4 linked regions of the Diceros bicornis minor genome follow. The main gene of each other region encodes a partner of the protein of the gene in region 3 in a complex. Links are inferred from orthologs where the notes say so. Each region holds a gene or a part of one and is shown on either strand. Other genes may lie near its edges. The genes, in order: MED1, MED20, MED8 and MED25.

Evidence for each region.
Region 1: MED8 (region 3) and MED1 share a complex: the UniProt entries of both Homo sapiens proteins name them as parts of the mediator complex. The link is inferred for Diceros bicornis minor from reciprocal best matches to the Homo sapiens genes MED8 and MED1.
Region 2: MED8 (region 3) and MED20 share a complex: the UniProt entries of both Homo sapiens proteins name them as parts of the mediator complex. The link is inferred for Diceros bicornis minor from reciprocal best matches to the Homo sapiens genes MED8 and MED20.
Region 4: MED8 (region 3) and MED25 share a complex: the UniProt entries of both Homo sapiens proteins name them as parts of the mediator complex. The link is inferred for Diceros bicornis minor from reciprocal best matches to the Homo sapiens genes MED8 and MED25.

The regions. Positions count from the first base shown.
Region 1 is NC_080757.1:39,169,484-39,176,737, reverse strand, and holds the start of MED1 (mediator of RNA polymerase II transcription subunit 1), read left to right. Parts: upstream 1-4,245; 5' UTR 4,246-4,430; coding exon 4,431-4,455; intron 4,456-6,700; coding exon 6,701-6,807; intron 6,808-7,254. UniProt on the Homo sapiens protein: Component of the Mediator complex, a coactivator involved in the regulated transcription of nearly all RNA polymerase II-dependent genes.
Region 2 is NC_080753.1:23,514,753-23,521,888, reverse strand, and holds the start of MED20 (mediator of RNA polymerase II transcription subunit 20), read right to left. Parts: upstream 3,015-7,136; 5' UTR 2,914-3,014; coding exon 2,900-2,913; intron 292-2,899; coding exon 137-291; intron 1-136. Other genes in the region: BYSL (bystin), read left to right, coding at 3,443-3,710. UniProt on the Homo sapiens protein: Component of the Mediator complex, a coactivator involved in the regulated transcription of nearly all RNA polymerase II-dependent genes.
Region 3 is NC_080752.1:6,335,886-6,343,821, forward strand, and holds the start of MED8 (mediator of RNA polymerase II transcription subunit 8), read right to left. Parts: upstream 3,006-7,936; 5' UTR 2,952-3,005; coding exon 2,946-2,951; exon of another isoform or gene 2,882-2,945; intron 1,555-2,881; coding exon 1,436-1,554; intron 751-1,435; coding exon 606-750; intron 78-605; coding exon 1-77. Other genes in the region: KICSTOR complex protein SZT2, read left to right, coding at 3,157-3,183. UniProt on the Homo sapiens protein: Component of the Mediator complex, a coactivator involved in the regulated transcription of nearly all RNA polymerase II-dependent genes.
Region 4 is NC_080773.1:25,175,335-25,183,127, forward strand, and holds the start of MED25 (mediator of RNA polymerase II transcription subunit 25), read left to right. Parts: upstream 1-4,783; 5' UTR 4,784-4,820; coding exon 4,821-4,954; intron 4,955-5,047; coding exon 5,048-5,093; intron 5,094-6,132; coding exon 6,133-6,257; intron 6,258-7,793. UniProt on the Homo sapiens protein: Component of the Mediator complex, a coactivator involved in the regulated transcription of nearly all RNA polymerase II-dependent genes.

The sequences.
Region 1 (7,254 bases), on a different chromosome or scaffold from region 3:
ATCTAAGCAAAGAAGGAAAGATCACCCAGTAAATTAGGAGCCTAATAATTCTGAATGAAGGCAGAAGAATCCACTCTCAAAATCACTCCCTGAAAATGTTCTTGTTACTTTTGGTCTCATGGGTACCAAAAAAAGTTTTTTACCTAAATGTTGTGGGGGGTTTTTTTGGTGAGGAAGATTGTCCCTGAGCTAACATCTGTGCCAGTCTTCCTCTATTCTGTATATGGGACACCACCACAACAAGGCTTGATGCATAGGTCCACAACGGAATCTGAACCCGCCAACCCCAGGCCCCGAAGCAGAGCACACCAACTTAACCACTAAGCCACTGGCTGGCCCCTACCTGTATTGAGTCCATAAATCTTGATTAAAGATAAAAAAGAGTGGGGCCAGCCCCGTGGCTTAGCGGCTAAGTGCGTGCGCTCCGCTACTGGCGGCCGGGGTTCGCATCCCGGGTGCGCACCGACGCACTGCTTCTCTGGCCTGGCCGCGTCCCACATACATGCAACTAGAAGGATGTGCAGCTATGACATACAACTAGCTACGGGGGCTTTGGGGGAAAAATAAATAAATAAAAATTTTTAAAAAAGTGAAGCTTTTCATTGAAGTTTTATATCTTATATTCTATAGCACTTTTCAGTTTTCCACAGAACTCTTTTAAGTTTGTCAATAAATATCAGTTGAACAAATAAATAACCTGGTGAGGTAGCCAGGATGGGTATTATTATATGCATCTACTAAAGGTTGAAACTGAGACTCAGAAAGAATAGGAGCACATTTATACTAAATGTAGTCAGTGCCAGGGGCAGGGACAGCTCTTTCTTTAATCCTAAACCAGTACTCGTTCTAGTGCACTACATTTTCTCTTTTTGGTGGATAAAATTCTACTCTAACATCAATTACATAAAGCTGGGGGAAAAAATTCTATTCCTGGAAATCTCAGATTGTAAACTGCCTGGATTGGTTCAACAACTAGTGAGAATACTGCTTTTGTAAAATAAAGGTTAGTTCACTCTACAGAAAAACTTTGAACTCAGAAATTCCAGGACTGTGCCATTTGCTTTATTTGCATGACCTCCCGGGGCAGGGAGTCCGGGCAAATCTGTGAACCCCAAGGTGATCAGTCAGGTAATGACTATACTTTCTCTGTAAATCCCCCAAAACAGGTCAGAAAGCTTCTCTTTAGGCTGTACACAAGAGGAAATATTTAACTAAAGTTACAATAACTTTGCCCCCCCCAGACTAATTTGTTGTTTATTTATTTATTTTTTGTGAGAAAGATCGGCCCTAAGCTAACATCTGCCAATCCTCCTCTTTTTTGCTGAGGAAGACTGGCCCTGGGCTAACATCCATGCCCATCTTCCTCCACTTTATATGGGATGCCGCCACAGCATGGCTTGCCAAGCGGTGCGTTGGTGCGCGCCTGGGATCCGAACCGGCGAACCCTGAGCTGCCACAGCAGAGTGCGCGCACTTAACCGCTTGCGCCACCGCGGGCTGGCCCCTAATTTATTGGTTTAGATTTTAGATTTCAAGAGTCCTCCAAAGTCTCCCTCAAAGATGAGTCCCTTAAAATCTGTCCATTGTCTCTTTCTTGCCATGTAGAAAGATGGTTCCTGTGTGGGCCTTAAATGCTTTTCTTGTTTAATGACACATCTCTCCTATCTTTACATCTAGAGTACAAATTTTTTAACAATGTCATTTCATCTGCATTTTCAGATGAGAAATTATAACTTCTCATTCTATTCTATGAGCGGAATTTGGTAAAGTGTACTCCATTTTCAAGCTTTATAAGGGTTAAAATTTCTAGCTACACTTAGAACAGACATTATTGTTTACTTGTACAGAGAGTTTCCATGAGGAAGTGTAGCTGTGTAGCTAACATTGATACTTTGGGCATAATAATAAATTAACAAAAATTTTTTGAGTACCTATGATTATAGCGACCATTCATATTTTCAGAAGTCTAAATCAGGTGAGCCCATCAAGAGCTAGGGCTGTTTTCATGTTTATATTACCAGCTCCTAATACACAAGTATTAGGACCCCATAGATACTTGCTGAATGAAGAGCACTTTGTTTGACAACAGGAAAGGAAATAGCATTTAAAATATGAACTATCTTTGGAAATTCTCTCGTGGATAAATGCTGTGTGTACTTCATCAATTTTAAGGTTGCTAGATTTACATTATATAATATTCGGAACATACTTCTACGCTAAAAAATATAGAAATCTGAAATTCAAATTTAACTGAGCATTCTGTATTTTATCTGGCAACCCTATCAATTTATCTCAACACTATACACTGAGTAGCTGATATGTGTCAGGAGCTGGGCTAGGCAATGTCACTAGACAGTAGTGAAAGAAACCAAACCAGTGCAGCCCTCCCAGAGTTGACAGTCTAGTAGGGAAGACAGGCATTGAAGAAATCATCATGCACTTAATTAATTTTCATGGTGAAAGTGCTATTAAAGAAATAATAATATAACAGAGAATCTGATCAAATCAGGGATTAGAGAAGGCTTGCTTTGCTAGTTAGAGGAAGAGAGATTTAAATTGAAATCTGAATAAGAGGGCCTTAATGAGATGAAAAGACTGGAATAGGGGAAAGCCTCCCAGCAGTTAAAAAGGCCTGTTCCAGGACCTTGGGAGAGGAAGGAGTGCAGGAATTTTCTGCACATGAAGAAGCCCAGTGTGGCTGGGGGTTGGCAAGGGGAGGAGAGCTGGGTCTAGCAAGGCTTTACAGGCCCAGGAAAAGATTTGCCTACTAGGCCCAGGTATAGTGCTAGGTAGCGGGAATTCAGAAATGAGGGGCAATTCCTGCCCCAAGAAACTCACTATGTAGTGACTCAAAGGAATGAGGATAAGAGGAATAAGCAGGAAATAAAATTTGAATTCTACTTTCAAGGAGCATGGTTATAGGTATCTTTGTGGCAATAAAAACATGTTCCCAGACATTTCCAAAGTTTTGTTATTATTAAATTTACACTGCTGTGCCTGCTCACCTGAACTATAGTTATCTGCTGGAATCGCTTTGGAGGATGTTTGAATAGCATTTTTGAAATGTGGGGAAAGTCTGAGACTAGAGATCCAGCAGAAGTCCACTCCTTAGTATCCTTGCAGCAAACTACATAAAATCCAACTTTTCAGCAGTTATTTTCAAGGATGTGTATGGTAAAAAAAAAAAAAAAAAAAAAGTAGCCTTAATTATGTTAAGAACTTTCACCTAATGCTAGCATTGTTATATTTTAGCCTGGTTCTTCAGTTCCAGCGGCCATGAACTTCTCAACATTACCCCAAATTTCTCTTTGTGAGGATTTACTGATACAAGAGATACGACTACACATTTTTGTGACTTGTAGAGTGTGAGCTAACCTGCTTGTTTTGACTATGATTGCAAAAAAGGGACACAATCAGTTGTGAACGCCTTTAAGACTCAAAATATAATTAATAGCATCTGATGCTCTGATTGCTAACAATTTACCTTAATCCAAAATCTCCCAGATCTTCAAAAATATTGGAATTGCTCAAGAAATTATGTCTGAAATTAAAAATTAGGAAATAGGAATTAAGGGTACTGGGCTGGCTTGGAACGTCAAGTTACAAAGAGCCAATATCTTTTTTTTTTGAGGAAGATTGGCTCTAAGCTAACATCTGTTGCCAATCTTCCTTCTTTTTTCCTCTTTTCTCCCCAAAGCCCCAGTAGACAGTTGTGTGTGTCATAGTTGCACGTCCTTCTAGTTGTCTATGTCGGACGCCTCCTCAGCATGACTTGATGAGCGGTACGCAGGTCCACGCCCAGGATCCAAGCCGGCGAACCGGGCCGCCCAAGCAGAGCGCACGAACTTCACCGCGACGCCGGGCGGCCCGGCCAATATCTTTTTTACGGCATAATTAATCCATCTAGTATCTCAAGAAAACATACTATCTTTAGTAAAATATTTCCGATACCAATATTCTTCGAAAAGCTAGTCTTTCAGTAACGAGAGTGGGGGATTTTAATCTGCGAATTGCTTAAATGCCAAAAGGAAGACGACAGTTTTCGCGAAAGACCTAAAGAGCACCCGCCGGCAAACTCTACGCCTAGCTCCAAGACTCTGAGACAAACAAGAGGAAACGCTGTTGGAAAAATCTCGCGAGAAGCACCCTATTAACCATTTTACGCGATATTTTGGTGCCCAGCCCTTTTCCTCTCTCTCGCAGGATCACGGTTAATCTCGCGATTTTTGGGAAGTTCCGTTGGGGAAGATGGCGGCGGCCGCGAGCACCCTTCTCTTCTTGCCGCCGGGGACTTCAGACTGAGCCTTCCCGGGAAGAGTGGGGACTGCTGGTGCCCTGCGTCCCGGGATCCCGAACCAACTTGGTTCCCCCGTTATTGGTGGGGAAGGGCTTATCCTCTTGTGTAGGAATCGGGCTCTCCCCACCGTCAGGATGAAGGCTCAGGGGGAAACCGAGGGTGAGTGACTGAGGGGGAAAGAGGGGGGCGGGACACAGCTGGGGGGAGCCAACCTGTAAGAGGAGCTGTAAGAGGACCGATGCCTCCGCGGGGGCCACTTTCCCGGGGGCGCAGAGTCCAGGAGGCGGGGTATGTGTGGGTTTTATATTCTGACTGTGCCTTCCCTGGTGATGGAGAGCTCCGACTTTGGGGTGATGGGGGCTCCCAACTTCTGTGAAGGTTTCCTGCATAGCTAGGGGCAATCAATTGGGCCTCAGAGCGTTTTTAGTCTAAAGTGATGGGAGAACAGGCGAGTGAATCTAAAACTTGCTTACATCTCGTTCCAGAAGAGACGTCTGAATAATGACAAAAAATAACAGAGCTGCGTGTCAAAGTACTGGAGGATGTTTTGGCGTAAGGGAAATGATTAGGTCCTTAAAATATTAAAAGCCAGCAGTTCCCTAGAATGCCACAGTGTTCCGATCTTGTGCTATTGTATATTTTAAAAATGCGCTGAATTTCATCCTTTCAATGGCTGGCCTAACTTAGAAATGCTGAAGAATGACTTTTCTGTGGAAACTTACTTAGATTCTCTAAAGTTTCGCATTCTGGCTTAAATGCTTCCTTAGTATTTTGGACATAGTGCTATTGATACAGCTCACTGTATTGTTGTTAATTCTTCTTCTCCACTTTACTCTGAGCTTTGTAGATCAGGGCCCTTGTGTTCCTCATCGTTGCATGGTCCCTGGCACATAATAGTTGCTCAAAGAATGTTTGATTTGAACATTTGTGTAAAGATATTTATCTTCAGGCTTCTCAAGGAAAAGAAGGGGAGTGTGTTTTGAATGAGAGGAAGAAGAAAGGTATACTCCTTGGGTATAGAGGAATGACAAGTGTAAAAATGGAAACTCGATGAGGCAGGAATTTTGTCTAGTTTGCTCGCTGTTGTAGCCCCCACACGTACAATAGTGCTTGAATGAATAAGTCTTGAAAGTGGAAATTGCCAGAACTGTGTCCAGAACTATAAACTGGCTGAAACAGCCCCCAAACCAGTTTTCCAGAAGATGAGGGCATTGGAGGAAGGTGTTTGAATCTTGATTTAGAAGATGTCACTGCCTCAACTCTGATTGCTGACATTCTATTCATCTTTCAATGACATCTTTTCTGTAGCATCTCCGCAACTAATTATGAACTTTTCCTCCTTTGAATTTCAATAGAATGTGTCTCTGTTTTTAAGAGCATATCTCCTTTGGCTTTGTGTGATGGTTATTTCCACGTTAACTTATCCACACCCCCTCACAGATGTCATCTCAGGCATATTGTGTGTTTTTGCATTGCCAGTGGTCTCTAGCACAGGTCCTTGCTCATACTAAGCAGTACAAGAATTAGAAGAGGGTTGGAGAGTGTAGGTTTGTTCACACACCTAATCCAGGAGCCAGTCTTTTCTACCTTTCTGTTACCTCTGCTGGAAACTCATCCTGGTATCTGTTGTCCAAAACACTGGTGTCTTTAGTCAGTGATGTCTTCCCTGTCCATATAGTTTTAGTTTGAATTCAAATAGGAAAAATCTGAATGGGAAATAAAGCCTGTTTTCTTGATAGTACTTATAAATTGATCTCTTAAAATTATGTCAAAAAATTAAGAAAGTCTGTATTTTCACACTGAAAACCAACTAATCATAGTAAGGCCATGTTCAAATGTATGCTCCACATATATCATACAAAGGATTTCATGCATATCATGAAATGATTTTGCCATGAAATGTAGTCTCAATCCTGAAACATTATTAGAGATGGTTCTTTTTTTGGTTCTTATTAAAAGTTTGAATAGAAAGCAGTCTTGTTCTATGGTGTTTGTTAGATTAGACCCATAATTTGTGTGTCTTCTTATCATTAAAAATAAATTTCTTTGTATTTTTTTTTTTTTTTTTTTGCCTTTTCTCCCCAAAGCCCCAGTAGATAGTTGTATGTCATAGTTGCACATCCCTCTAGTTGCCGTATGTGGGACGTGGCCTCAGCATGGCCAGAGAAGTGATGCGTCGGTGCACGCCGGGGATCCGAACCCGGGCCACCAGTGGCGGAGCGCGTGCACCTAACCGCTAAGCCATGGGGTCAGCCCCTCTTTGTATGTTTTGAAGTAAATGACACTGAAAAATATTTTAACTGAGTTCTTAACAGGAGGAAGTATGGGAGTTTCATTTGCAGGAAAAACTGTGGAAGGTCTTGAAAGAAGAGTTTCTAATTATGTTTTCTGATTTATATCGTAGAATCGGAAAAGCTGAGTAAGATGAGTTCTCTCTTGGAACGGCTCCATGCAAAATTTAACCAAAATAGACCTTGGAGTGAAACCATTAAGCTTGTGCGTCAAGTCATGGTGAGGATTGTAGTGAAGTGGATAAAGTGTTGTGCTTAGATAATTATTTAATAAGCTAAGCTCCTGTGTAGACTTTTTAAAAGTAGTTATTGTAGTGTGTCTGCAGTTTTATTTATCATAAAACACCTGAGTACACTGGCTATCAACTTTAAGAGTCTAAGAGGGAGGTATATTTATAAAATGGTGTTAATCATGAGTTACAGTACACTGGGTTACTTTAGGCAAAGGTGATAAGAAATACACCTATAGAGGCACACAGGATAGATTGTTATAGAGAGACATTTATTCTTCACTTCCTGTCAAGCTGTTGATTCTAATGTGATAGTACTTTTATTGTATTTATACTACTAGTAGAATTTGCAATTTATTCTTAATTAGCTTCACCTGTTCACTCTGTCAAGCTCTTTTTCTACAGTACTAGCTTCACCTGTTCACTCTGTCAAGCTC
Region 2 (7,136 bases), on a different chromosome or scaffold from region 3:
TAATGAATTAAGAAACACCTGTGCCACACGTTTAAGAATACCACCTTTAGCAGAAGAACAGAAAGATTTCAATGAACATGAACATCTATCAACTCCAAGCCAGGTTCCAGCCATCACACAGACCCTTCTCACTGACCTTGACTGCCAAGGGTAGAGGCAGCCGTGTGGTAGGTCTCACAGTCCACACAAAATGTTCCTTGCTTCTCTGCCCCAAGCATCTCCAATTTCCTGGTGAGGAGCTCCACGGTCTGCTGGACACTCTTGCCCTCAGCGACAGGCATCTGGGACACACTGGAAGGGAGAGTACCAAACCATCAATATGCAATGACACATGTGCACTCGCTGAACCACTCACTCACAGAATCACAGCTCATCAGGGCCAGAAATTAACTTCGAGACCACTGACCCTGACCCCCTCATTTTAAAACAGAGGAAATAGAGGCCCACGGTCCCTGAGGACATCTCTCAGGACTCGCAGAGAAGTGCAGTGAACTTCCTATCTATCACACCAGCACTTCCCAAGCGTAGCATGAGAAAATTTTAGGTGGCACACAGACTGAGCCCTCGATAACACTGAGTTGTATAATGAGCTTTGTGATTCTTTCACTTCTGACTGTATGAAGGAGAAAGCCTCAGTTTGGGGATAGTGTATTTTTACCAACTCTACAACACTTTGAACGTGCACTGTCCAGTACAGCAGACACAAGCCACATGTGGCTATTTACACTTAAACTAATAAAACAAATTAAATTAAAAATTCAACTCCTCTGCTGCAACCACATTTTAAGGGCTCAATAGCTCAATAGTGGCTGGGGGCTAGGGTACTGGACACTGCTAATATACAACATTTCCATCACCACAGAAAGTTCTATTCGACAGCCCTAAGATCAAAAAGAAAGCAAGCCTCGAGTTTATAATCTTCGGGGATGAGAGGCAACAGTACGTACAAGAATTTAATCAAAACAATGAAACAAAAAACGTTATTTCCAAGATTTCCTTCTATGGTGAGTGAAATTGGCTTCCCCTTTAGAGGGGTGGGTAAAAATCACCAAGCGCAAACTATGTGCCAGGCAGTGTCCAAAGGCCTTCAGATGAATTAAGTCTTCCAATCCTCACAACAGCCCTATAAGATGTGCTATTATTTATCTCCTTGTTACCAATGAGGAAACTAAAGTACAGAGGGGTTGAATAACTCACACAAGGTCACACAGCTTGGTGTGCTGTAGCAAAGATTCAAAGCTAGGCAAGCTGGCGCCATGTCCACACTCTTAACCACCATACTGGACTGCCTCCCTAGGGACACAGTTGCCTGTTAAATACTTTAAAGGAAAATAAATAGATTTAAAAGAAAACACTAATAAATAATAGTAGAGCTGGTACTTGGCTATACAAAAGTCCTAAGGAGAATCATATGTGAGTGAATGTTGGGAGACACTGCATTACTTTAGGATCAGTCAACCAAATGAAGATATAAAAGTAGAGTCCTGACGTTGCTAATAATTGTCACTACTCTCCATAAGAAAAAGCACTGATAGGGCCGGCCCCGTGGCTTAGCGGTTAAGGGCACGCGCTCCGCTGCTGGCGGCCTGGGTTCGGATCCCGGGCACGCACCGACGCGTGGTTTCTCCGGCCATGCTGAGGCCGCGTCCCACATACAGCAACTAGAAGGATGTGCAACTATGATGTACAACTATCTACTGGGGCTTTGGGGGAAATAAATAAATTTAAAAAAAGAAAGAAAAAGCACTGATAAGCAATGATAATGATGTGCCTTATTTTGAAATATAAGAGACTCCCTAAACTGATGCTACTGAGGTCAGAAGTCCTAGGAGTCGGAGAAAGTTGATAATGGTCCCAAAAGAGAGCCCTTCCCTCTGTAGGCCTTCTCTATTGAAAGAACAGGGGCTCCAGGGTTCCAAGCCTCTGTGCTTCAAACTTTGCATTCCCATCGCTCACATATCCCCTTACACTAGAGAACCTGAGGAGGCTCTGATGACAACTGTAGGAAACAAAGGTGCAATCACCAACAAACCTCAAGAACCTGGGTTATCAGGAGGAGTAGTGCCCACAGGTTCTTATAGAAGAAGCCTACAGCCACTAGCTTCAGATATCCTGGCCTCCAGCCCTCTCTGACTGGAAAGATGTTCACACTTCCCGGTATTAAAAAAAAAAAAAAAAGCCCTGAAATCTAGCATTTTGGAACTAATGCCTCCAAGAGCATTAGGCCCACACCTTTCCCTGCCACCCAGACTTATAACATGTTAGAGCTAATAAGTCCATAAAAACTAGACCAACCATGTAATTAAACATAGTAGGAAGGGATCCTGAAAAGGTGACATGCCTGGAACCCCAATCTCCTAATTCCCAATAGCTTCTTTTTTACCTCTAGACAGAGAATCTTAAAATGGTCAAACTAGAACCAGATACAGGCTGGTCTAACTGCATTTAGCGGCTGTAAGGAGGAGCAGGCGAAAACCTAAAAAAGATACTGTCTCCTCCTTGCCTATCCCTCAACCCCTCCAGACCTGCCTGCAGATGGATCCTAGTCCGGACATCCTATTTCCGACCCTAAAGTTCCACCCCCAGCAGTACCACAGCCCCACGGGCAGGCATATGGACCAAGAAAAAACGAACGAGGTACACAACCATTGATGGGTTCCTGGGATAAAACCTTTTACCAGCCGCCTTCCAAGAGGAAGGGGCGCATCTCTGAGGAAACAGGCCCTGAGACTCCGCGACCCTCATGGTGTCCCCCTCACCCACACAATCCGAGGACATCTTGCTCAGCTCCTGAGGGACGGCGGACCCTGATCTCGCTCCTCCTCCCGGGTACAGTCCAGGCTCCAAGGGCCCCTTCACGACCCCAAGCCCCGCCCCACAAAATCCCTCGCACTCCTACCAAGTCACTCCCATGGTGTCGGGCCAGGAAGGTGGCAGGATCCAACAGCTGAAAGGCAGCGCTTTCTGGCCGCCCACGCTAAGTGAAGCCCCCTACCGCCAGGCTCGCTGGAGGGAGGTGCTCCGGAAATGACGCAAAAACAGAGCGCCCAGTCGACGCGCCCACGAGGAACAGGGGCTTGTCTAGGCGCCTCCTCGGTGACGCATGCAGTGACGTCACTGTCCGACCCTGGCCCAGGCTTGCCGCGGGAGAAATTCTCATGTGGCCGGGCCTAGATCCATGAAGCTAGGAAAGCGTGGCTCGGCCTGCCACCACTTAGAGAAGCCAACGTTAAAGGCAATGAGTTTATTCAGGAGTCCTGCTCCAGGACCAGTGAGCTCTTTTAGGGGGTGGGGCGTCGCTGATGGCACTCCCGGCCTCCGAACGCTAGGGAACGCTGTGATCGCCGTCTCGCCTGTTGGGCGCGGGGTTCACTGCGCAAGCGCAATCAGGGCTTTTTCCCGTCCCCACGTGTGAACCTTCCCGGCGAGGTTTTCGAGAAAAATGCCCAAATTCAAGGCGGCCCGCGGGGCCGGGGTTCAGGAAAAACATGCGCCCCTGGCCGAGCAGATCCTGGCTGGGGACGCGGTGCGGGCAGGGGCCCGGGAAAAGCGGCGGGGCCGTGGAACCGGAGAAGAGGAGGAAGAGTATGTGGGGCCCCGGCTGACCCGACGGATTTTGGAGCAAGCGCGGCAGCAGCAGGAGGAGCTGGAGGCCGAGCATGGGACCGGGAACCGGCCCTCGGTGCCGCGGGAGCGCACCACGCGGCTGGGTGAGTGGCGGGGGCTGGGTGCGAGGAAGAGCGCGGTTAATTGGAGTGGACGGCTGAAAGATGTCCGCCACGGGAATAACTTGCAATAAAAAATAAAAGGAGCGTGGTTTATATTACCACCTTGCAAAGGTAATGGAATGGGAGACCCAGCCCTGGAGCGAATTTAGGGTGGTCAGAACCCTCCACGCCCACTCATAGTTTTAGGCACTCCTTTCTAGGCACCCCCGAAGTTATGCCAACAGGAAGCGATTGCTCACGCTACTAAGTTTTCCTAGCATTTATCCATTTGTTCTCTAATTACTTATGGGATGTCTACTACGTGCTTCGCACTGTGCTAGTTTAGATGGTTTGGGTAAAGAAGTAAACAAGATAGACTTGTGCCTGATTTCAGGATATTAAAGTCTAGCCCAAGAGAGAGACAATTAAAATAATAATTGTAATATATTATTATAATAATATTACATTAATACTATTCTAATAATAATAATAATCTCAACGATAAAGAAAGTATAGTTTCTCAGATAACAATAGCATTAACCTTGGGGGTCGGGCTTCCCAGATTGCATGACCTTTGTGCTGAGACCTGAAAAACCAGTGCAGAGTGTTCTGAGCAGAAAGAACAATATTGTGTAGGGGCTAAAGAGGAGAGAGATTAATTAAAAGGTGGTCAGTATTTTTTTATTAGGGTGAGTGTTGCCCTCCGAGTTGCTTAATCCATTTCTCAGATCTCATCTTTCATTTGTCCGGAGAGCAGCATTTGACACAATTGAACACCTGCCTCCTGGCTGCAGTATCTTTACTTGACTTCTAAGACAGTGCATTCCTGTTTCACTACTTCTTCACTTCTCAATAGTCTTTTCTGGCTCCTCTTTTGTCCCCAGCCTCTTATCATTCAAGAGCTGCAGAGTTCAGTCCTTGCACCTCTTCTCGTCACTTCTCTGGTGCTGTCATCAGTTTCATGGTTTAAACACCATCTATTTGGTGACTTCTCCCAACTTTGTATTCTAGTCCTGCTTTCTTCCATGAAGCACAGACTCGTATATTTCAGCTGCCTATTTGGCATCTCCCATTTGAAGTCTAATAAGCATCCCGATTTTAACGTGTCCAAAACAGAAATCCTGACCTTCTCGCCAAACCTGCTTCTCTCACTGTCTTCCTCATCTCAGTCAATAGCATGATATCCTTCCTTTTGCTCAAGACAGAACCCCTGGGCTCCTCTCTTTCTTGGTCCATATCTGATCTGTTAGGGAATCCTGTTGACTCTACCTTCAAAATATATCCGGAATCAGACCACTTCTCACCACCTTGGAACACCATCCTGTTCAAGCCACTGCAATGTCTCGCCTGGATGATTGCAGTAGCCCCCTAATTTAGTATCCCATACCCCCTATAGTCCACTCACAGCTCAACAGCTAGAAGATTACAGCCGTCTACAAAGACCTGTGTGATCTGCCCCTGTTGTTCTCTTCACTCCACCCATATAGGCTTCATTCTTTCTTAAACATGGCGAGTTAGGGCCGTGGTTGTTCCTTCTGTCCTCATACGCCTGTAGGCTTACTCCCTTAGTTCTTCACCTTCTCAGAGAGGCCACTCCATTAAAAATGGCAACATCCCACCCCTGTCTCCACACTCCCGAATGTCTCTACTCTGCCCTGTTTTCTTTTTTCATAGCACGTGTCTTCTTTTAACCTAATATATATCATATTTATTCATCTGTCTCCCCCATTAGAATGTAAGCTCTGTGAGGGTAAAAAGTTTTGTTTCTCTTGTTCGCTAATATATGTTCAGCACCCAGAACAGTGCTTCACATATAGTAGGCACTCAGTGTTTGCTAAATGAATGGATTAATGAATGATGGTGAGGTAGGTAGGAGCCAAATCCACAAAAGACTTGGAGGCTGTGCTCAGGATTTAAAGCCATTCTAAAGACAGTGAGAAACTATTGGAGTATATGGAGACCAGGTAGGGGATTGTTGAATTAATCCAGGCAAGAGATGATGCTGCTCTGCTTAGACAGAGCTGTGAAGGATCTGGGAGATATTCTATGAGGTAGAATCGAATAGGACTTGGTAATTGATTGAGTGTTGGGGGTGAGGTCAGGGGACGAGGCAGGCCTGCTTCCCAGGTTCTGCCTTAACATTGGGTAGATGGTGGTGCCAGTGTTCCACATGTGGAACACAGTGAGTAGTGTAGACCTAGGAGGGAAAGAGAATGAGTTTGGTTGGTGACAGGTGAAGTTTGAAATGCCTGTGGGCCATCAACAGTGGCTGTACAGATGCAAGTGTACTTCCCATAATGAGCCAACATAAATTGTTGAAAAGATAAGATGACCCTTTTGTGAATTCTATGGAGGAAGAGGAATAAAGGTTGTTACAGGAAAAAAAAAAAAAAAAAGAGTGGCTGTACAGGAGGCAGCTGGAGTTAGAGTCTGCAAGGAAGGGAGATCCACCGACAAGTACAGATTTGGGAGTTGTTAGTAAGTAGAGAGAAAACCTCTGGCACCACTCCCCGCACTCATTTTGGTTTTATCACACACTGCCTCTGTTTTGTTTTGTTTTGTCTTTTTGTGAGGAAGATTAGTCCTGAGCTAACATCCGTTGCCAATCCTCCTCTTTTTGCTGAGGAAGATTGGCCCTGGGCTAACATACGTGCCCGTCTTCCTCTACTTTATGTGGGACGCCACCACAGCATGGCCCAATGAGCGGTGCGTCAGTCCACGCCCAGGATCCGAACCTGCGAACCCCAGGCCACCGAAGCAGAGCATGCGAACCTAACCGCTATGCCACCGGGCCGGCTCCACTGCCTCTATTATTTATTTATTTTTTTTTTGTGGGGAAGATCAGCCCTGAGCTAACATCCGTGCTAATCCTCCTCTTTTTGCTGAGGAAGACTGGCTCTGAGCTAACATCTATTGCCAATCCTCTTCCTTTTTTTCCCCCAAAGCCCCAGTAGATAGTTGTATGTCATAGTTGCATATCCTTCTAGTTGCTGTATGTGGGACGTGGCCTCAGCATGGCCAGAGAAGCAGTGCGTCGGTGCGCGCCCAGGATCCGAACCCAGGCCGCCAGTAGCAGACCACTTAACTGCTAGGCCACTGGGCCGGCCCCACTGTCTCTATTCTTAATGACCTGTTCATATGTAGCATTTCATCTCCCCGCTTGGATTATCGCATCCCTTTCCAGATGCCCAGCCAGCTGTAGCCTTCCAGTCTGAACTCCACAGTCTGGCTTCACTTTACCCATCTAGCCTTATTTCTTGCTACTGCTTAAGAGACACTCTTGTAACCAAGCACTTTTGCCCGTGTTGTTACCCAGATCCGGAACACACTCCTCCAGTTCCCGTACTGCCTATCCAGAGGCTAACCATTCTCTGCATCATCATCTTCTAAGTGCCTGTGGTATATTCTGTCTCTACCACTCGTTTTGGC
Region 3 (7,936 bases):
TCAGGGTCAGGCTTGGTTCTCAGGTGGTCAGGAACCACCTCATGGCTGAAGACAGGCACTCGTCCTTCAGTCTGCCGCTGTAACACACAGATTTTATTGATCCTACTATGCACTCCAAGAAGATTCAATCTGGCCTGCTATATAGTTTCTTCCACAGGCAAACACTGCATTTTCAGGGAAAACACAACCTGAGACTTATAATATCTAGCTTCCTAGGACACTATTCTCCTCACTCCATCCTTTATTTCTGTCTCCTCACACCTCTGTCTCTACCAGACCTGGGGGCAAACTCTCTCTACCACATTTTAATCTAAGAGTGAAATAGACAAAGTCACAAAGGAACATACTTTTTGCTAGAGATAGGGGTTGGAGGAGAAAGGTCTTTGCCTTGGTGACACAGGCCTCAGGTTAATTCACCACTATTTGGGAGTGGCTCCCCCAACTCCAGAAGGACAAAAAGCAAGGCCTCCAAAATGCAGCCCTTGCTTCTTATTGTCACACACTACTCCACATTCAGAACTTCTAGAATAACCAACCAACAACTGTGCTCTGAGTCCTCATCTAAGAACTTAATTCCCCAAGTTGTACCCTTCTCCTCCTCTTACCATGAGATCTTCATCTCGGTCTGGGGACAACACCAGAGGGATGATGACCTGGTTACGGAAGAGTGGTGTCTTTTCATGCTTCAAGACCTTGTTCAGAGTGTTCAACTGTCCAGAGAGCAAGGCAAAGCTGTCCAGGACAGAGGGCCTGGTGGTGGTAAGAGGGTGTCAGAATGTTCCCAGTAAAGCAGCCTAAAAGGGGTCCTTCAGACTAGGAATACCCAGACTCACCCCAAAAAGATTCATAGCCCTGTGGCTGGGCTGGGCAGGAACCAGACTGGCTCACAGGGATTACGTGGTTAGGAAAGAGGGACACACTTCAGTTTCTGACATAGATGGAGAAAAAAGGCAGGTCATTATTTGAATGGGGTGAGGAACAGTGGCAAAATAGGAACCATGGCTACACTGTTATCACTAAAAATTCAGAAACTGGGTAAAAGCCTCCTTTCTAGCCTGGAAATAGGATCCACACTCTCCGAGTAGGTGGACCTAAAAGACTCAGCACCATCTATGCCAAGAAATCCAATACGAATACTGTATTCCTACTATAGTGGGAGGATACACTGAGGGAGGACCTCCTCCTAGAAAAGTCAAAGGGTGAGAATCAAAAGCTAGAAAGAACCTGGGTTGGCAAACTGGGCACCTCTCTACTTCCTTGCAGTGGAGGCCCTAAGCCAAACTCCACTTGTTATATGTTGGGAAACCCAGTTCTTTCCAAACAAAAAAATAGTTGCTAACTGATAAATGGTTACATCACTGGAGATGTCCTATCCACCAAGAGTCCTGGCTCCCCACTCATGGAGCCCTCCCCAGCTTGCTCTGGCAACCCTTACCAGGTCAGCCGGTCATACTCGTTCTCCAACTTGTAAATGAAACCTCCCAGTGAGTTCTTCAGATCAGCCACTTGGCTCAGCAGTGCATCTAACGATGCTTCAAGCTGCTTCTCCTCCCTCTGCACCAATAGGAATAGGTTGGTTACCCAGACGGGTGTGAGTATGACACACACAGAGGAAGGCTGAAATGCCAGGATGACAGTGTGCAACACCAGTCAAGTAACACAGGATCTTGTTGGCATAGAAGAGACAGGTTTTTGTCTATCTTTGGTATTTGGGTTATAGACAGCATCAACCCTTAGACCTTTAAACCCATTCACATGACATCAATTCCTCCTGCCAACTGATTCCTTTCTTGCATCATCTCCTAATCCATGCCTGGTTTTTCTCTGTATTAGGTACTAGTGTCTCTCACTGAGAAATTTTCACGAGACCTAATGCCTTGGATTTATTATCTTTTGCATATCTCTGCAGCATATGTACTCCAGCTTCCTCTGTTCTAGAACTTGCCTTGTGAACCTGGCTGTTCTTGCCAATGACACAATCTCTGGGAAATCTGCCTACACATGAAGGTTTCTCTGAATACCGGCCTTGCACCACCACCTCCCCCCTCTTCATTTGCCCTCAGCATCTGATGTTTCAACCTCCTCCTTGCTGAATTAATCTGCACTCATTTTATCTCTGTGCCAATATTCCTGTGCCCCTCTCACAAGCTTTGTCAACCTATAGTCGTTTACTGACAGACTACCAGTGCAAGAAACTAAGACTGGTTTCTTGCACCACTACCAGCTGCAAGAAACTAAGTGACAAATGAAAGACAAAAAAATGCACATGGTCCTAAACACTAGACAAACAATTTTAAATGCTGGGGGGGGGTCTGCGACGCATTTCCTTCCCGTTTATGGTCTCCAGTTTTACTTCATTTCCTCATCCTTAACAACTATCAGGCACAGGTTGGGAAGAATGATGCAAAACCGTCTTGCAAACTCGCCAACGTGTAGAACAGGAGCCTTGATCCTTGGTTCCGCCCACGGCCTCAGATTATAATTACCTTAGCTTTCGGCCACCGCGGTCCCACAATTCTTTCACCCTTCGGGCTTCCCTCCAATTACAGATGCCCTGTTATGTCTGCATCCAACAGCGTCCATCCAACAGCCTAGGCCGGGGCCTGAGCCAGCCCATCAGTTCCCCGAGCCGTCTGCCTTGGATTGCATCTCAACCTTCCCAAATTACAACCTGATCCTTTCCCACACTGCAGCAAGTCAGTACTGCCTCCTCCCTCCCAACCTCGCCGCATCTCTGTCTCCTGTCAGCCGGGCTCCACCCCATCTCTCATCCGCGTCTCTCCCTCTCCAGTCGGCGTCGCCCCGCATCCCGCGTTCCCTCATCCATCAGCTGCGGGCTCTGCTCCCTCCTCTCAGCCCCAACTCCTCACTCTCTCCTCAGCCAGCCCACTCTCGGTCCGGTTATCCGAAGCCAGATAGCGGTCAAGAGCCCCCACCAGGCTCACCTGCATTGCGGCGGCAGTGGCGGCGGCGGCGACTTCCTCTTCCGGTTTCCAAGTCAGCCAGCCACTCGGAGAGGGCGTCGTCCACCAATCAGAAAACTCAGAAGTCGGCCCTCGCACTCATTTCTGGTTCCGGTCGGGAGCGCGGTAGCCGGGTCAGGGGTCACGAGTGGAACGTCTTTTCTGGCCCCGGCCGGCGCGGGAGGGCTGTGCGATGGCCTCGGAGCGCCCGGAGCCGGAGGTGAGAGGCGGGCGGGCGCAGCGCTGGGCCCCGAGATCCGAGGGGGAGGATCAGGCGGCCAGCGCGGCCCTGACCTCCTCTGGGTCTGGGTGAGGCCGGGCCGCGTAGCCGGGCCCTGGACCGGCCCAGCCCCGAAGGCCGGACCGTTGAACCTCCTCCCCGCAGTCCGCACTGTCCTCAGGGGCTAGAGAAACTTCGTCGCTTTGTTTTGTTTACTGAAATTTTATCCACGTCGCTGATTTGAGGGCTCTCGGATTCTTTGACCTGATAATGGTATTAACAAAACCTGTGTTTTGACTTTCTGTTGCAGTTTCAGTGGGCAGCACGGCATTAGACTGACTTTGCCGTTTTCTGCATTTCTTCACACTGGAATTCCATAAATAGCATGAATTAATTTAGTTCTAGCGCTCATGCTTTTGGAAAGCAGCTTTGGTGTCGTGAAAAGACGTTTGACTGGGAGTGAAACCTTGATCCAGTATTGGTGCTGCCGTTTAGCAATCTGTGCGACTTCGGGCAAGTCTTGACTTCCCCGATCCTGTTCCCTTCTTCGTAAAATACCTACGTTATGGTGTGTTGTGAGGATCACATGTATTAAACCAGAAAATGCATAGGAGGTATCTGTAAAGCGCTAAGGACCATGCAAGGAGCTTTGTATACTACATTGTGTTATTCAAACTTGTGCAAGGAAGGTGGCAATATCCACTCTCATTTACAGATAAAACTGAAAAGTGAGAGAGGTTAAGTACCTTACCCAAGTGCTACTCAGTTGGAGAGTAGCCGAGTTTTGGAGTTAGAAGATCCGAGCATAACATCTTAGATTTGGAAAGAATGACTCACTAGGAAAGGTGCCCAGTATTATAAAAGAATGTTTAAGTAGATGGGAAGGATGAGGATGTGTATAACGACACAAATAGTAGTCGTTACTTAACGCTATCCCATGCCGGGCACCTTCTAAGCACTTGACCAATATCAACTAATGCTCTCAACCCTGTGAAGTAGACACTATTGTCATCCCCATTTTTCAGTTGAGGAAACGGAGGCACAGAGATGTTAAGAGTAACTTGGGGCCGGCCCGGTGGCGCAAGCAGTTGAGTGCACGTGCCCCGCTTCGGTGTCCCGGGGTTCTCACAGGTTCAGATCCCCAGCACCACCGGTGCACTGCTTGTCAAGCCATGCTGTAGGGGCGTCCCACGTAAAGTAGAGGAAGATAGGCGTGGATGTTAGCTCAGGGCCAACCTTCCTCAGCGAAAAAGAGGAGGATTGGCATCGGATGTTAGCTCAGGGCTGATCTTCCTCACAAAAAAAAAAAATGTTAAGAGTAACAAGTTACACAGCTAATAAGTAGTAGAGCTAGGACTCCAAAACAGGTGGTCTGCTCCAGATCTTGTGTTCTTAACCATAATGTTTATAGTATAAATAAAAAACTAGCCACAGGATGGTAAATCTCCAGTCCATTAGGATTTGGTGTGATGAGACCCGGGATTGAATATGGCTGTAGGAAACTGCCGTATTTAAAGGAATCAGACTTGTTCACAGGGTAGTGAAATAGCTCATGCATCAGAAATATCAATATTGAGAACTCCGTGAAAGAATTTGGAGTATGTTTCATTATGAATTAAAATGAGAGGAAACAGAGGGATGTTGTGGGGAAATACAACATACCTTTTAGGCAGATAGTCTAAATTTCCAATAGAAATCTAATGCAAGCTGTAAAAATAAATTTTCTGGTAGCCACATTTAAAAAAGGTAAAAAGAAACAGGTGAAATTAATTTTAATGTATTTTATGTATTTCCAAAATGTTATCATTTCAACATGTAATAAATATAAAAAATTATGTGGTATTTAACATTCTTTTTTGGTACCAAGTCTTTAAAATCCAGTGTGTATTTTACACTTACAACACATCTCGTTTGGACTAGCAACATTTCAAGTGGTCAGTAGCCCCGTATGGTAGCAGCTACCGTATTGAACAGTGCGGATCTAAAGTAGCTTGGAGTCAAGACACATACTCCTGGGAGTATTCAGCCAAAAATTAAACATTTGTTAAGTTCTGGATTTGCATTTCTGAAAATTTTATCTCAGAAGGTAAAGGGAGTGAAGAGTTCTGCCCCTGGGCAAAAAGTGACTGATTTTTAGAGGTTTTTTACAATCCCGAGAGAGAGATAGAGCATAGTCAGATTTAAGAAATCATTCATTCATCAAATACTTAACATATTTTATGAGTGCTACTATGGACTTGGAATTGTGCTAAGTATCAGGGTGGATACAGAGCAGTGTAAGACAGACATGTTCCCTATTGTAATGGAGTAAACATTGAATTATGATAATAAGTGCTGCAAAGGAAAAATACAGAGTGAGTGAGTGTTTAACAAGGGTTCTTAACCTATTTCGTTAAGAAGTGGTTGGGGGGGCCGGCCCGGTGGCGCAAGCGGTTGGGTGCGCGCGCTCCGCTGCGGCGGCCCGGGGTTCGCTAGTTTGGATCCCGGGCGCGCACCGACGCACCGCTTGGTAAGCCATGCTGTGGCGGCGTCCCATATAAAGTGGAGGAAGATGGGCACGGATGTTGGCCCAGGGCCGTCTTCCTCAGCAAAAAAAGAGGAGGATTGGCGGATGTTAGCTCAGGGCTGATCTCCTCACAAAAAAAAAAAAAAAAAAAAAAAAGAAGTGGTTGGGTGAGGGGGATCAGGAAGCCGCCTCAGAGGAATGACATTTAAGCCTGAAGAATGAGAAGAGGCAGAGCACATTACAGGCAAAGGCAATAGTGAAAATCCTGAGGTGAGAAGGAGCTTAGAGCCTTCAGAGAACCGAGAGGAAGCAGCTGATTGTGTGGGTGCTGTGTGACATGAGAATAGCTAACACAGTACTTACTAGATATCGTCTAATACTCGTAAAATCCTCACGAAGTAGGCGCTGTTTATCCCTGTTTCACAGAGGAGGAAGCGAAGGCACAGAGAGTTTAAGTAACTTCACCAAGGCCTTATATTGATAAGCAGCAGAACCAGCATTTGATCCTAGGCGCTCTAACTCAGGGGGAGTTGGGTGAGAGATGAGGCTGGAGAAGAAGATTCTGGTTGAGCCCATGCTAGAGGTTCAGGACTTTGGCATAAATACAGAGGTAAGGAATCTTCAGACAATTCAAGGGGGAAGAAAAATCTACGTTATTTCATGGGACTCAGCACAAGGGTTGAAAAAGGCTCAAAAATAATTTGTACCTTAACCATAAAGGGACAGGTGCAAAAAACAACAAATTAATGAGATGGGTGATTTCCTTCATCCTGGTATACATGGTATGCAGCACAGTGCCTGATGATGTTTTATTCATGTTGTTATAAATGGTATGTAGGCCTCAATAAATGTTCCCAAGAATGATAAGCTTTTTCTCTCATAGTTCTGACTCCCTTGTTTAATTGCAACCACATCCTTATGAAGTAGATATTCTTATCCACATGATATCAATGAAGAAACTGAGGCCTGGAAGAATTAAGTAACTTGTCCAAGCTCACCTAGATAGCAAGTAGTAGAAGCAGATTTGAATCCAAGTCTGTGACTCCAAAACCCTGCTTTCTCTTTGCCAGACTGCTCCAATGCACCTCAGACTCAGGGGGATTAAATGTGGGAGAATTGAAGCTTCATGTGTGTGGATGCTGTGAGAACACAACTAATTCGGGAATTCTCAAACATTAAAGTAGAAGAATCACTTGGGGAGCTTGTTAAATGTAGATTCCTAAGCCCCATCAACTCTAATTGGTCTGGGATGGTGCCCAGGAATCTGCATTTTAATAAGCACCTTAGGTAATTCCGATGTAGTTGGTCCTGGGGTCCCACTTTGAAAAATACCATTCTAGCTGTTTAAATTAATTCTTAAGTCGTCTGATTCTGATAAATTACATCTTGAATGTGAAGAAAACTTAGAGATGGTGTTTTGAAAATGTAGTTGTTGAATTGGAAGGATCGTGTATAAGGGGATGTTGCAAGAAAGCTCGAGTTAGGCAAATGCTCCTGGCTTCAAGAAAGTGGATTCTATAAGAACTGATTGATGAACTAGACTTTAGTTTGGCCTTGGACAGTCAGTCTATCATACAAAATAACCTTTGAGACAAGGTGGAGAAATGGAAGCTGTACAGTAGTGGAATTAAGCAGCCTACTAACTAATAACCTGAAGAAAGTTTTCTAATAGCACAGTGCTCGGCTATACCCTCCATCTGGTTTATCTCCCTTTCCCTGCTCAAGCTTCACTGTCACTTTCTCCTAAGACCCTAGCCTGAGTCAAGTTACATGCTATCATAGAACCATACTCTGATCTTTTAGTACACCTACTCAGTTTGTAATAATATAATAATTAGTGATTATTTGATTAATGTTTTTTTCTCCATTAGAGTAAATTTTGTGAGAGCAGAAAATGCCAATTCTTGCCTTCCTTTGTATCCTTAGGACCTAGCCCAGTGCTGGCATGTAGCAGGCTGTCCATAAATTTGTTGACTGATGAGTGAATGCATGCTCACCTTGCCTTTGTCCTGTTTGGACTTGGATGAGGGCTTGATGGCATCCTGATCAAATTAGCAGGGAAATTAAGCTGGAAAGAGGTTTGCTAGAAGACAGAACAGCACTCTAAGCTTCTCGATAGAATAATACACTGAATTTATCCAGTGTAATTGTGTGTGTCCAAAAAGTGCATGAGGATAGAATGGGGGCTGTGTCTTAACAGCAGCACAAGCAAGAAAGTCAGGGAGGTTTCCTGAGTCAACAGTATGG
Region 4 (7,793 bases), on a different chromosome or scaffold from region 3:
CTCCGTGAGGCGTGCAGAGGTCTAGGCTGAGGCTCCAAGGCAGGCAGCAGGCTCACAGAAGCCGGGCAGCCCCACGGGGCCTGGCAGGCCTGCCTCTCCAGGGGCGCCGGGACGCTTGATCTCCATCCTTGCCATTGATTTCCTGGCCACGCCAGCCAGGAAGTCCTGGGATCCCTGGTCACCCTTCTCTCCACATTTTCCCTTGGGCTCTGTGTTGCCAGTCTGACCCACAGCTCCCACGATGCCAGGAACGCCCCAAGGGCCAGAGTGCCCATGGGCTCCCTGCTTGCCTGGGTACCCAGGAGGCGCAAGGGGTCCTGGGGGCGCCATCATGCCAGTTGCACCCCGGGCCTCTTGCTTGGTACCCACAGCCACCGCTGCCAGTTGCCTTTGCAGCTTCTTCAGAATCCACAACGTGCTGGTGACTGGCTCCTCGGCCCGCCGGGCTCTGTCTCCCAGGCTGTCCAGGCTCGCGTCAGTCTCCTGCCAGTCCTCGAGGACTAGGGGGCCCTGGGGTAGCCCTGCACCCCTACTGGGGCCCGGGTAGCCAAGTACCTTATCTTTTAGGGGTTTTTGTGCAGATTTCATTAGGTACGCATGATTGATTAAATCATTGGCCAGTGGTGATTAACTCAATCTCCAGCTCCTCTCTCCTCCCCAGAGGTCAGGGATGGGGCTGAAAGTTCTAACCCTCTAATCCTGCCTTGATCCTTCTGGTGACCAACCCCACCCCAAAGCCATCTAGGGTCCCCCAGCCATGAGTCATTTCACCAGCATACCAAAAGACACTCTTTTCTCTCCAAAGATTCCAAAGGTCTTAGAAGCTCTTGTGTCGGGAACCAACCAGAGACTAAGACCAAATATTATAACAAAAGATGCTCCTACCACCCGTCTCACTCAGAAATTTACAAAGGTTTTAGGAGCTCTGTGCCAGGAAACCTAACAAAGACCAAATATATATTTCTTATTATACTGACAATATCTCTGTCTTTTGTGTGTGTGAGGAAGACCAGCCCTGAGCTAACATCCATGCCAATCCTTCCTCTTTTTGCTGAGGAAGACTGGCCCTGGGCTAACATCTGTGCCCATCTTCCTCCCCTTTATATGGGACGCTGCCACAGCATGGCCTGACAAGTGGTGCCTCGCTGAGGCGCCCAGGATCAGAATTCAGGCCGCCAGCAGCAGAGCGCACGCACTTAACCACTACGCCACGGGGCCGGCCCTCTCTGTCTTTTAGAGAGTTTGCTGGAGTTAATTCTGTTTTTAGTACCTGGAATGTCTTTCCCCCACCTTCATTATCGTACGATTCTGATGTGATAGTTAATTTTTCTCAAAACTCTTAACATATTCCACCATCTTCTAGTTTCTGTTTTTGCTGTTAAGAAGTTGGCTGTCATTCTACATAAAATTTCTTTGTGGAGGTCTGTTCTTTCCCTCTGGGTACTTTTTAGTCTTCTCTTTCACTACGATGAGTCAAGGTGAGCAATTCTTTTTTTTTCGGTGAGGAAGATTAGCCCTGAGCTAACATCCCTTGCCAATCCTCCTCTTTTTGCTGAGGAAGATTGGCCCTGGGCTAACATCCCTGCCCATCTCCCTCTGTTTTGTATGTGGGCTGCCTGCCACAGCATGGCTTGATAAGTAGTGCATAGGTCTGCACCCAAGATCTGAACCTGCGAACCCTGAGCTGCCAAAGTGAAGCGTGTAAACTTAACCACTACGCCACCCGCCCAGCCCCAGTAATTCTTTTTTATCATGATTTTATACTTTGTGCTTCCAGGATCCAAGGATTAATATTTTTTAATCAATTTCAGAAAATATACAGCCATAAGCTATGTAAGCTCTTAAAATATTGCCTCTCCTCCATTCTCTTTTTTCCTTTGGGTATTCCGAACCCATGAACTCCGGGCCACTGAAGCAGAGTGTGAGAACGTAACCACTATGCCACCAGGCTGGCCCCCTCCATATTTTTTTGATGCTGGCTGTTCTTTGTGATTGTGTCTGTGATAGGCTGCTTCTAAAATGGCTCCCAATGATCTCCACCTCCTAGTATTCACTACCTTTCCTCTTGTGTGTGCATGGGACCTGTGACTTGCCTTTAACAACGGAATTTAGCAAAAGCGATGTGATGTCCCTTCTGAGATTAGGTTACAGAGACTGTGACTTCCATCTTCCTTGTATTCTCTCTCTTGCTTGCTCTGCTGCAACCAATGCCACGTTGTGACCTCCCCAAAGGAGAGGTCATGGAACTGAGGGCAACCTCTGGCCAACAGCCTGTGAAGAACTGAATCCTGCTAACAATTATGAGAGTGAGCCTGGAAGCAGATCCTTCTCTAGTTGTGCCTTGAGAGGATTACAGCCCTAGCTCACACTGATTACAGCCTGTGAGAGACTCTGCAGCATAGGAGCCAGCTAAGTCTTGCCTGGATTCCTCATCTACAGAAACTGTGAAAGAATGTTGTTGCTTTAAGCCACTAAGTTTTGGGTAATTTGTTACACAACACAAGATAACTTAGATAATTTCCTTTATTTCTCCCACCATTTTGCACATTATGGAGACCTGGGGGTGGGGGTCTACATCTGTTAACTATTGTTTCTGTTGACTCATAGTCCTAGCCTCTGTGCTGGTGGTCTTTGACTGTGAACTCATTACTTGACATTGACCTGAGTCCTTTGTGGAGGATTTACTTCTAATTCTGCAGGTTGCCATGAGTGTTTAAACCTGGAACCAATTCTGTTGCCCCAGAAGGTCTTTGCTTAGCTGGAGAACCAGACTCAGTTTTCCAATTCACACCTGCCTTCAGGCTCTTGGTAATGCCAATGCAGCCCCTTCCCCTGCACTCAGCTCTACTCCAACCCCCTCTTTTTTGTTAATTTCTGGTTCTCTGTCTTTTTTTGGGGGAGGGGGAGTCTTGAAAACTGTTCCTACCTCTTATGCAACCACTAATGTCACAAAAACAGTGTTATAACACCTAATCCATCATAATGCCAGAAGCTGAAGTCCAGGCTAAAATATCTAACTGTTTATTGTACCCTTTGTAATACAGTAATGGAAATGGTTTAAAAAACAGTTAATACAACCAATCATACATTCAGCTTATCTAAAGAAAAGTTTCCTTGTAGTTAATAGGGCAGATCTTAATTTTAGGTACCATTTTAATCTTCTTACCCGTTGATCATTTTTTCTATCTCCAATTTACTTTTATCTTCCTTATAATTTTATTAAAAATTTCACTACAGTGCCATAGAAAAGAAGGGAGCTGCTTTAGATTCAAGAAATTTAAGAGAGATCATGTCTAAATAAGTGTTTGGTCTTTGTTTGGATCTTGATGCAAATGAAGCAATTGTAAAAAGACATTTTGAGAGAATTGGGGAAATTTGATTATGGATTTAGTGTTCGATGATACTAAGAAATAATTTTGTTAGGGGTGATAATGGCACAGTGGTTATGTAAGAAAAGGGCCATACCTTTTAGAGATGCCTGTTAAGCCTGTAGAGGAAAAATGATGTGATGTTGGGGATTTGCTTTAAAAGTCTTCGGCAAAGAAAATAAAAGAAAAAAGGGATGAACAAGGTAAATGTGACAATATGATAATACTGCTCTGTGCAAAGAGAATGCACCCTTTTACCTTGAAATATATTGCCAAAATGCATTAGGGCAAGCGTCCTGATTTCCGCCCCTACTAGACTACTCTGAGTCTGCTCCTTTTCCTCAAACCCTTCCACCCTCGTGGACATTATTCTTCCCAATGTTAATTAACATGACAAAAATAAAATATCATTGGACTTTCTGTTAGCACTTGTTAATTGGTGAAGATGAGCATTTTTCAGGTATTTGCCATTTTTATTTTGTATGTGCGTGGGAAAACCCTGCTTAGATTCTTTCTCATTAAAAAAACAAAGTATTTCTATTTTCTTAAGTTTTCATTGATCAGTAAGTTGGATTTGTGTAGTACATTTCTGTCAACACATATGTTACCATGACTTTCCCAGTTTATCGTCTTTTTTTTCAACTTGGTTTATCCAGTCTTTTGCGGACAAACTGATCAATCTCTTGTTTTCTGGCTTTGCTGTAACGATAAACCCTTTTTCCAGTCTTCAGGATTATACACTGTGTTTCTTCATTCCTTCGGATATTTTTACGGTTTCATTTGTTGTACTCACATTTTTAATCCACCTGGTATGTATTTATATTCTAGGCCGGTTTCTGGCCCCTCTCCCAGAAAACAACTATCTGGTGTTGCCTAGCAACGACTGCTTGGGTTGGATTTCGGCTTCTTTTCGGGAGAAAAACAACTTCACTCCCTTCGGAGTTGAGGGCAACCTTAAAGCGTTGCCTAGAAACCCGGTTTCGGACGATATGATTGGACCCTTCACAGGACCCTCCCCCATACCCTCCAGCTCCACAAAGAACTTAAGCGGAAACCTAATCTCTCTGTTAGAAAACAGGGGCAGCGTACGCGTTGCACAGCAACCAGCTCCCCTGATCCTCTCAGAGACTCCAGAGTCGGGACAGGCGCCCCGCTCAAAGATGGCGGCTGGCTGCGCCTCTGTCGGTATATTTCGCTCTGGACAGTCGTGCCAATAATTCAGTCTTCCGCATCAGGCCCCCAAAAGGGCTTGCTATGGCCTTTCTGAGTCTTCCACGTGGTGCGTGCGAGGATGGAGCTAGACCCGCCCGCCCTGGGTGCCCCGCACAAACATGGCGACGGGCGCGTCCGCGGCGGCGCGAAGCCGCCAGGCGCGGGCGCGCGCGCAGCGCAGGCGCACTTCTGCCCCTGTCGCGGTGACTGTGGCGGCGGTGGCGGCGGCGGCGCGGGGGAATGGTCCCCGGCTCGGAGGGCCCGGCCCGCGCCGGGGGCCTAGTGGCCGACGTGGTGTTTGTGATCGAGGGTACGGCCAACCTGGGGCCGTACTTCGAGGGGCTCCGCAAGCACTACCTGCTCCCGGCCATCGAGTGAGTACCGTTTCCGCGACTCCAACCCCGCCCTCCCACTGCAGTTTCCACAGCCCCGGGCCTGACCCCGACCTTTCACTTTCGACCCCACAGATATTTTAATGGTGGTCCACCTGCCGAGACGGACTTCGGGGGAGACGTGAGTCCTGGGACTCCCGGGTCCGAGGTCGAGGAGGGGCCGGGGGGTGGACTCCCGGGTCCGGGGGAGGAGGGGCCGGGGGGTGGACTCCCGGGTCCGGGGGAGGAGGGGGCCGGGGGGTGGACTCCCGGGTCCGAGGGAGGAGGGGGCCGGGGGCCCGGACTCCCGGGTCCGGGGGAGGAGGGGCCGGGGGGTGGACTCCCGGGTCCGGGGGAGGAGGGGGCCGGGGGGTGGACTCCCGCGTCCGGGGGAGGAGGGGGCGGGGGGTGGACTCCCGGGTCCGGGGGAGGAGGGGCCGGGGGGTGGACTCCCGGGGCCGGGGGAGGAGGGGGCGGGGGGTGGACTCCCGGGGCCGGGGGAGGAGGGGCCGGGGGGTGGACTCCCGGGGCCGGGGGAGGAGGGGGCCGGGGGGTGGACTCCCGGGTCCGGGGGAGGAGGGGGCCGGGGGGTGGACTCCCGCGTCCGGGGGAGGAGGGGGCGGGGGGTGGACTCCCGGGTCCGGGGGAGGAGGGGCCGGGGGGTGGACTCCCGGGTCCGGGGGAGGAGGGGCCGGGGGGTGGACTCCCGGGTCCGGGGGAGGAGGGGGCCGGGGGCCCGGACTCCCGGGTCCGGGGGAGGAGGGGGCGGGGGGTGGACTGCCGGGTCCGGGGGAGGAGGGGGCCGGGGGGTGGACTGCCGGGTCCGGGGGAGGAGGGGGCCGGGGGGTGGACTCCCGGGTCCGGGGGAGGAGGGGGCCGGGGGGTGGACTGCCGGGTCCGGGGGAGGAGGGGGCCGGGGGGTGGACTGCCGGGTCCGGGGGAGGAGGGGGCCGGGGGGTGGACTGCCGGGTCCGGGGGAGGAGGGGCCGGGGGCCCGGACTCCCGGGTCCGGGGGAGGAGGGGCCGGGGGCCCGGACTCCCGGGTCCGGGGGAGGAGGGGCCGGGGGATGGACTCCCGGGGCCGGGGGAGGAGGGGGCGGGGGGATGGACGCCGGGGGCCCGGACTCCTTCTCTGAGGGAGCTGGGATCCAGATGCAAAGTTCTCTGTCCTTTCCTCCCAGTATGGGGGGACCCAGTACAGCCTGGTGGTGTTCAACACGGTGGACTGCGCTCCCGAGTCCTACGTACAGTGTCACGCTCCCACCAGCAGCGCCTATGAGTTCGTCACCTGGCTCGATGGCATTAAGTGAGTTTTTCCCCGTGCTTGGGGCGGCTTGGGGGACCCTTGAGGGGCCGTGAACGGGTGGCGGCTTGGGTTGGCGCTGCAGGAACCATTGCCTCATATGGGGTGGCCGAAAGGACCGAGAGGGGTGGTGTTTTTGTCCATAAGTCACTTCCGTTGTGGGTTGTGTGCGCTCAGCGATTTTGCCATCAGATTCGAAAGTAGAAAAAACTTGCTGGTCAAGGAGGCCTCTTGGGCCTGGGCACCTGCCTCCTACTCCATGTGTGATTCTCGCCTTTCTGTTGGCTGTTTCTCATCTCTACTCCAGTTCTCCTGTTTCTCATGGGCACGTTGAAGCCTGAAGGCAGGGGGAGGGGCTAGGCCGACATAGATCCCTCTGTGCTTTGGATCCAGTTTTGATAGTTCACACTGCAGGCTCTTGCAGGTGTGGACAGCCTGGGGCCAAACCACAGCTGTACCAGGACAGAACTCCCAGACCCAGGAGTCCCTGCCCCCTCTGCCTAATATAATTTATCTCTAAAGGGGGGTGTTAATAGTACTTGTGTTAGTTATTTATGTATGACTCAGACACTGTTGCCTAACAGGTTACCCCAAAACTTACTGGCTCAAAACAGCAAACATTTATTACCGCTTGCAGTTTCTGTAAGTAAGGAATTCAGGAGCGGCTTAGCTGGGAGGTTTTGGCTCAGATTCTCCTGTGGTTCCAGTCACAATGAGCTGAGGCCGCAGTCACTCAAAGATTTGAACGGACTGGAGGACCTGTTTCCAAGGTGGCTCACCCTATGGCTGTTGGCTGGGGGCCTCAATTCCTTGCTGGCTGTTAGCCACAAGGCCTCCCGGTGGGGCTGCTTGAGTGTCCTCCCAACATGGCAGCTGGCTTTCCTCAGACGGAGCAATCCCACAGAAAGCACAGTGGAAGCCGCAAGGCTTGTTATGATCCAATCTTGGAAGTCACACACCATCGCTTCTGCCACATTCTGTTTAGTACACAAGTCGGTCCTGTTCAGTGTTTGAGTGGGTGTGAGTACCAGGGGGCCGGTGTCAGTGGGGGCCTGGCTGCCATGACTTCAAAGGGGTACTTTGGGAATTAAATGAGTTGCTGACTGTTTAAAACGGTGCCTGGCGGGTATTAGGTGCTACCTAAGTGTTTGCTGTGTCCCCTCGTGGTCATTAGAATTAGTAGTCAGGATGGGGCAGGGTTTCTCAGCCTCAGCACTGTTGACACCTTGGGGCAAATAACAATAGTTGTTGTGGGGACTGTCCTGTACATTGTAGGATGTTCAGCAGCAGCCCTGTTCTCTACCCACCAGCTGCCAGTGGCCACTTCCCTCCCAAGGTGTGACAAACAAAAACGTCTCTAGACATTGTGAAATGTCCCGGGTGGGGGGGTTCAAAATCCACCCCAGTTGAGAACCGCTGGCGTAGATGGTGATAAGACTTAAGTAATGTTAAATGGGGCCTCCTTGAGGCCCGAGTCCAAGTTTGATATCCCTCAAATCCCTAGCACGCAGCACAGGGCCTGGCACCAAGGAAACCTAA